Linked DNA regions of Caenorhabditis elegans. The protein of the gene in region 2 interacts with the protein of the main gene of each other region in a biochemical or structural test. Each region holds a gene or a part of one and is shown on either strand. Other genes may lie near its edges.

Region 1 (4,629 bases), 1.3 Mb from region 2:
GAATTTACATCTGAAACCCCCATCTGAAATCCTAGTTGTCGTTCGAAATTTTACTGTGCACTTTTTGCTAAACTCAAAGAATTGTATGAAAAAGTTCATATTACATTCTTTTTTTCATTGGTTATGTGGATAACGAGTTACTGTAACTCGTATCAATTCAGTGGCTGAAAAATATTTACCATTATTTTTTCAATTAATTGGGTTATTCAAGTAGTGTCGGAAAGTTTAGAAGCAGAGAAAAATTTTAATACAGTTGTCACGTCATTTCTCTATCCTTTTTAATTTTTCGACACTACTTGAATAACCCCATAAAAAAGCATTCCGGGATGTAGTAACTCATTGTCTACGTAAGTGACCCCAAAAACTTCTTATCGCTATACGTCTACGTATTAACTTCACTGACAGGAGAATACTTTTGAAGGTGTTCAGAAAATATTATTCTTTCCGTTTAAAAATTCCGCTAAGACTGTCTGTCAAGATATGAACACTTGAGACTTTTTGCAACAAAAAAAAACCAAACGCTTCAAAATACTGCAATTTTTATTGTTTTGATAGATTAAGAAGCGATTCAATTTGTTAGTGTAGCAGATAAATATGCTATTTTTTCTATTTAGAATTTAAAAAAATTAACAAGTATGCTGAAAAATTATATTTAAGGTTTTAGAAAACTTTTAAATTCTAAAGAAAATTGCTTTAAAAAAAGTCAATTAGACAAAATCATTGAACACTTATTTTTTCATAACTTTGATTTTTAACTTTGAAACTTCAGTTTTCCAACTTTTAAAAGCTGTTCAAATAGAGAAAACACACTATATTAGTAAAACAATACAAGTTTTATTCATTCTCGGAAGATTTCAAGATAAACAAGAATCACATTTTCAAACTTGTGACTTTCAAATTTTTCAGACGAATTGAAGTTCACAACGGGATAAATACAAAAATCAAGAATTATAGTTGAATTGAATAACTACGCAAAGGAGATTAAGACCCGACATATGAGCTTGGCGCAGTTCTATTTATCAGAAAAGTTCGTGGGGACTTTGTTTCGTCGTCATGTCGATGATTCCAACTTCCTGAAAAATTGTATTTTGAATTGAACTTTTTAGTCAGAAAAAATTGTGAGTAAAATGTAGTTATCTCAAGTAGATGATTCATCCTACAATTTTGTTTGAAAGTACTCACTTCGAGTTCCTCTTAAACTATTCTTTCTGGTCCATGGGAAGAATAGTGCTCGGAACGTGGAGAGATACTCATTGGACATGGTGCAATAGAGAACGAAGCTAACAGAGCTGTACAACAGCGTCAGCATTTCCATCAGATTTCCCACTGGATCGTAATACCGATTTCCGAACTCTTCACCGTAGATAGCCACGCACAAGTTAAGAATACCCATGGGTAGTTCTACCTGGAATCAGACATACGTTTCATGGTAATCATAGACAAAATAATATAAATAATCGTAACAATACAGCAATCACATACGATCAGACATTAAATAGTGACTAACCATTACACATAGGAGTAGAATGATGACGAGCATTCGTGTTGTGCGCGGTCTGGTCGTCAACTTTCTTTTTGCTTTTCTCTCGGAGTTGGTGCAAATGTTGGCACCTTGTGTACGCTTCCAGTTTTTACGCCTTCGTTCTACGCTTTTCAAAGATCTTATAAGAGCAATGAGTAGTATTGAGAGAATTAACGACGGAAGTAGTTTGAACACAATACCAAATGCCCAGAAAACTGCGGACACGAGAAGTGGACTCTCTTGATAACTGAGGTCGTACAATGGACCTTCCATTTCGCATTGCAAATCATAAGCAACGTGGTCACGAGCGACAATTTTAACCTGAAACATAGATGAAATCAGATTCGAGATATGAAGATTAACTACACAAACCTCGGATATGAAAAACAATGGAAGACTGATGATAGGAATGATGATCCAAATGATAACGTTTGCTGCGATTGCTGGCTGGCATTTATAGATGAATCTATTCGCTTGAATTGGAAACTTCAGTGCACAATACCGAAACACTGCGACAACGATCGTCGTTGTGAATGCAACTGAAAAGTATTTGAGTACAGTAATATGCTTGCCAATCTAAAAATACTTACTTGTATGAAATACTGTATTCAGGTTGACATTGAAGAATCTATATCTTGTAAATGCTTCGGACCATAATAATTGAACACTGCAAAAAACTGGAACATTGTTTTTTTTATTTGATGCATGACGTACCATTGATATCTATAATACTCAAGCAATAAGTAAAGGAAGTAATTGGTCGCTAGGAGCCATTGTGCAATGGAGAGACCTGTGAGCAGGATGTTTATTGGGGTTCGCATCCGTTTTCTGGAATAACAGGTACATTCATCCGTAAAAAATAAAGAAATATATAACTTACCTTGTGAGCACAATAATATTGAAGACGTTTGAAGCGGCTCCGAATATACAGATAGAAATTGAAAGAGGAATATGAATTTCATCGTAGTACTGCAAAAAGGACTTGTCAGTTATGGCTCGCGACGAGACATTTGTTGCATTTTCACGACCCGACAATCCGAGTTCCGTCCATTTCCCCATTTTTTCACTCTTTCACGTTTCGGAACGAGCCCGAATAGGGAAGCAAATATGGGAAAGCAAAAAAGATTCCGGTTCAAAATGCTGGAAAAGCTTCAAACGTCCATTCACAACCGGATTATCCCAGCGACAATCTCTAACAACGAGATAGCAGGAAAAATTGGACGACAAAATAAATATTCGTTCCAGTCAAAACGGAGTGGGAGGGAAAGGGGAAATCTAGTGAAATCAGTGTTGGAAGTTCCGCCCACTGTGTAGCGCGTGCCCCTGTCTATCAGCTAATTATTTTTCAAGTTGTGTGCATCGCGTGTCCCCCCAAATGACACCATACTGATTCACTGGTGCCCAGTCAGAAACACATAGATGAGTCTCTGAAAGACTAACTCGCAGTGTGAGGCCGTAAAACGGGTTTACGATCGGCTCCCAATAGAGTCTCGTACGCAACTAACACCCAAAGTACACGTGCAGAATTGCAGAATTATTTAGGTCATTTGAGGAATGGGACACTACTCCGAAAATGGGGAAAATGTTTGAAACTGTTCATATGCCGCTACATTAGGTCCTGATAGGTTTTGTTCCCCCAAAATGTTTTAATTTTCTAAAATTAAATTTTCCACCTTTCAAATTAAAAACAAAAACAAAAGTACGGAACAAAGCATTCGTTTCTCCAAATCGTTCCAAAAAAGTTCACGTTTTTGTGGTTAATTGTAACTTAGAAAATTAAAACATTTTGAGGGTAACAAAACCCATGAGTACCCTACAATAAATCATAATAGCAAACTTTTCGAGTCCAATTTGACAAAATTTTCCAAAATTTACATTCGGAGTTGCTTGAAATTTCTCAAACAGTCCAAACTTTTAGAAAACTTGACAATTTACCAAAACTTTGATTGAAATTTTTTGAAAAATCGGAGCATTTTTGAAGTGTTGCACGATTATATTTGACTATTATGAATGTGATTAAATAATATTCCCACTGATGATACTCCAACTTTGATAGTTTCACATAAGTGTTTAAACCAAGTGAAAATTATATTTTCGATGTAAATTTGTCTAGACAGTGACTTTTGTCCTATTATACAATTTGAAATTTCAAGGGTTCAAACTTTTGAGGTTGCTTAAAAAAAACGTCCATGCTTTTTGATAACTTGGTAATTCACCACAACTTTTACTGAATATTTTGAAAAATCTAAGAATGTTTGGAGTGTTTCACAATGATATTTGTTCATGTCAGACTATCATGATTGTAAATTCAAACCCCCCCCCCTCTTCACTGATGTTACTTTACTATTAATAGTGTTTATAAGTGCTTTAAAAACGTTCAATGTTCTTGAATATTCAAAATAGAATGTTGCTTCAACACATCTAATCTCATATCTTGAGACATTTTGCTCTCCGATTAGTGATAACAATTAATTTTTCCTAAACTGTTCTTTGGCAAATATCAAAATTGAAACAATGATCCTATGGCTTCTATCACAAATTTGCAATTTTTCCAAATTTCCAACGCGTCATCAAAACCACCTCCCGAGATTTTAATGCTTTGAACTCACCATGGCAAACATGTGGATATAGCATTCGAAGTATGTACAGATCAGTGTGTCATTCATTGCTGAAAAGCTGTCATTGTGTTCTATGATGTTCTCCATCTGCAACAAAAGACCTGTGTTGTTTTCAAAGTTATGCAGGGAGAAGAACAAGAAAACGTGAGGAAACGGAGGTGAAGGCAACAGAAAAAAGATCAGGAAAAACCTTTTGACGTTATATAAATTATTAAATCATGAGCATTATATAAAGATTTCTGGAGTATAGAAAGTTCCATACCTTAAATGAGTTCAAAATTCAAGAACAGTACGTAGAAATGATTAATGTCTAGTCTCGGGAACTTATATTCCCCTGGCACGGTCTACCGTCATATAAGGTTTTCGCAGTACATTCTGACAAATTTATTGTTGCAGAAAGAAAAAAAGAAAATTGAAAAAGACACGAACGCAGCTTGAGATAAATAATTTTCGAATCCGGTACACCGTCATTCTCCTACAAAATGAAGG
Region 2 (3,621 bases):
GTTTCACTGTATAATTTTTTTGATTGTAGACAATATTCACCCAAATGCTCACTTTTCCATTTTATACTATTGATTTCAGTGTAATGGAATGTACGACTGATAAAATCGTTCCAATAAACACTTAAGTCACCCCACTTGAGCCAACATTTGATATTTGACCAATCCACATACTGAAACTTGAGTAAATGGTTCCACTTCCTCTTCCTTTTTTCTTCAAGCCCTTCTGAAAAAAGTTCATTGGTTTTGAACTTGTCTTAAAACAGAACGGAAACTTATACGAGTTTCCTGAACGAGGAAAAGTTTTGGAGCAGTTTTTTCGAACTTTAAAGCTTTTCCAAATCTGATAAATTCAAAAGTGTTCAAACTGGTAAAAAGCCAGACGTTTATTAATGTGAAGACATTAAAATTGATTATGAACAAAAAAAGTAATTTCGAGTTGAAGTAAATTTACAATAGGAGCATATATTCTTTTTGAAACTGTTACCAGTATTATTTGGAAAATCTTTTAATGCTCACCGTGAGACCAGCTCTAATATTTTGAAGCTAAAAATTCACAACGCCACGCTTGCATATCTTGCTCAAAAGTCCGGTGGTATCTTCAGATGGCTCCTTAGAAAATCTTTTGATCATGCAGTCTTCCAGCCTGGCGGCCCTTTTAAGCCTTATATACGATAGGGGGATTACGGTTAATGCTAAATGGTTGCAAATGTGTGTTTTATTTACGTGATGATGTTTGATGAATCAGCATATGAAAATATTTTGGAGAAAAATAATGAGATAATCGAGTTACATGACACCTAGTTTGGAGTTGATAATATTAGTATGTTTGTTGATAATATTACTATTTGGTTTCAAATTGAAAAATACTGAAACTCAAAAATTTTGGTATACTTCTAGAATTGCCTTCCTGGAATTGGAAAACATAATTATTGCAGAGATCAAAATAGAAGCCTGAGATAATTCTGGATGGCTTTAAAGTTTCAAAAACCAGTAGTTAAACTTTGATTCTTATTGTGCCATTGAAACGATCTTGTTTTTAATCAAGATGCTTTGGGGAGTACTTCATCTCTATGACTTATGAATTCAAAGAAATACACACAGTGGGCGTCCTGGACATAAGTTAATTTTGGAAGAGTGTACATAGAATAAGAATTTTGTTTCAAATTAATTTGACAAGTCATCGAAATAGTATTTTACACATTTATGGGTAGGTTTTCTTGTGTACTTTGCTGTTTTCTTGTATAAAACAGCAACAGCGATTTCAAAATCTGTGAATAGATGCAATTGGTGGTTGCACTATATAGAGAGGGATAGGCTTCTCAAAATAGTTCCGTTTCGACTCTGTAAATTTGTCATGCTTCCGGAGATTGCACTCCAATTTAGACATTCTTTCAATAATGTTTTGTACGGAATCTCAAAAGTGTCTTGCATTGTTATATTGTGCACAATATTTCTGGACCCCCACGGTCGCGCCTTTTGCCTTCCAATTTGCGCCTTTTGTGCGTGTCACACCAGCATCACTTTTTCGCCGCCTTCATCCGGGATTCCTCTATCCTTCACAATCAGTATGGAGGAGAAGAAGCACTGCCGGCGGAAAGCGATGACGAGTTGTGTGGTGAGAGGACGGATTGCCCAATTTTCCAACTATTGTCTACCATCAATCTTCTCCCGAAAAGACACATGATTTCATTTTTTCTTTTCCACTCCTTCTATTTTTTTGCTGTCTTGGTGACATTGAGAGCTCAACTTCATCCACCATAATTTCTCCTCCCAAAAGGGGAGGACCATCATTAGGCCACGCCCACTTGGTCGGCACATAAGCTCGCCAGATTCAGATCGGCATAATATTTGCGCCACACAAGCTGAACTTTCAGTAAACATGAATGTTCAAGTCATCATCGCCCTTTTGTTCTGCCTTATTGCAACATGTGCTACACAGAAAGGTAAGCCACTAGTTCCTTGTTTCAGAAATAGCTTTCAAAATGTAACACTAGACATAGCTCTCCATGTATTGTTAAAACGAATTGGTGTCGTCGTGCTAAGAATTACAATTTGACAAGGAGTCTCCGAGTGGGTGAATCCTGTCAAAACCAAACATGTACATAAATCCTCAATACACAATCTAGTAATGCAATTCACTTCCAAAATATGTCTCAAAAATTAGGCGCAAAAAATTGGAATGTCCTAGCGTCGAGTCACCGACTCATTAATCCCATTAGTCCCAACTATTTCTCATCCAACATGCATAATTACACCAAGAAAAATTCCTCTTCCTGTTGTGCAAATAACACAAAGCGCAGTGTGGCCTAGCTGGAAATTAGGGACTCTTCTGGACAAAAATCTTTCTGAAAATAAAGCAAAAAAAAAACTAGATAAAAGTGAGATTCTGAATAACAAGTAGCAAATCGAGAAACAGAAACGGAAGAAAATATTCTTGGCCCATTGCATTTTAGGAACTCGTCTTATGGGGCCCAGCAAGAAAACCCGACTAGACACATTGATATTATCTTTAATGTATTGTTTTTAGTCAAAGGATCGCCTGAAGTACTCCCGGCAGCCATGTACGATGGGGAACTGAGCCACGAAAGCGTAAACAAGGTACTGTTACTGCTTACCGCACCGAGAGCAACTCGATCATTTCTCAATTGTTTTCAGATTAGTGCTCAGCTGCTGAATGCTCTATCAGAGTTGGAAGCACTTCAGGAGGGCAACCAGCAGCTCAAGATGGCCGAAAAACGACGCAACAAGTTCGAGTTCATTCGATTTGGACGAAAGTAGAGCATCATTTGAGCCGAGCATTGTTTCCAACCTTGAAAAGGATCTATTTAACCTTCTGAATCTCTGAATCTCTCAAATGTTCTCACTCTCTATGTCAATTTCGTAATGAATTGTGATAGCAGCCGATGAAAATAAAACTTGAATTGTTTTTCCTTGTTTATCCCGTGTTTATTGCAATTTTCCTTTTAAAAAATTGGAAGAAAATTGGAAATTTATAAAGCCTGTTAAATTTTGACTTGGAAATATGAAATAATACAATTTGAGTTTATAAAGCCAAATTTAGGCTGATATTTATAAAAGCTGGAAGAATCCTGTCTAACTTAAGTTGTTAGGAAATTTGTCATTCTTTTGAACAATCTTAAGATTGTAGTTTTACTCGTTAAACTCGTTAAAATACAACCGAAAATTGCGTTTTGATTTGATAACCAGATTTTAAAAAAATTAAATGATAATATAATTTTTAGAATATTTTAGTAGTTTGAAATTTCTTTCTAAAAACCAACAACAACAACATACCGTGCTCACCGAGAACTTCACACATCGCTACTTAACTACGCAATTAGACAGTTCAAATAGTTGGCTTAAAAATTAGCCAAAGTTTTGAAATCTGAATTTTTATATACAGTACAAAAGTTTAATCAACTGTATTAGATTTTCAACCTTCCCAATTTCAATTCTACTTGGAAGCACAAAAAAGTTACGAAAAATGTAAAAAGTTAAATTTCTATTTGTAATTTCAATTTTTACACTTTGTTTTGAATGTCTAATTGCTTCTGAAAAATTTCTCGTAAACTGCAATAAAGCATTTTATTTTGTTTTCAGGTTCCCATGCGATGCATAATC

Evidence for each region.
Region 1: the proteins of flp-12 (region 2) and egl-6 interact in a test that uses a peptide from one of them, tested with the Caenorhabditis elegans proteins (one large-scale study listed by BioGRID).

Annotation. Positions count from the first base shown.
Region 1 is NC_003284.9:5,930,720-5,935,348, reverse strand, and holds egl-6 (G-protein coupled receptors family 1 profile domain-containing protein), read right to left. Parts: upstream 2,764-4,629; 5' UTR 2,582-2,763; coding exon 2,403-2,581; intron 2,351-2,402; coding exon 2,237-2,350; intron 2,190-2,236; coding exon 2,113-2,189; intron 2,062-2,112; coding exon 1,895-2,061; intron 1,844-1,894; coding exon 1,508-1,843; intron 1,406-1,507; coding exon 1,183-1,405; intron 1,074-1,182; coding exon 982-1,073; 3' UTR 817-981; downstream 1-816.
Region 2 is NC_003284.9:4,590,586-4,594,206, reverse strand, and holds flp-12 (FMRF-Like Peptide), read left to right. Parts: upstream 1-1,802; 5' UTR 1,803-1,879; coding exon 1,880-1,943; exon of another isoform or gene 1,944-2,527; coding exon 2,528-2,598; intron 2,599-2,655; coding exon 2,656-2,778; 3' UTR 2,779-2,926; downstream 2,927-3,621.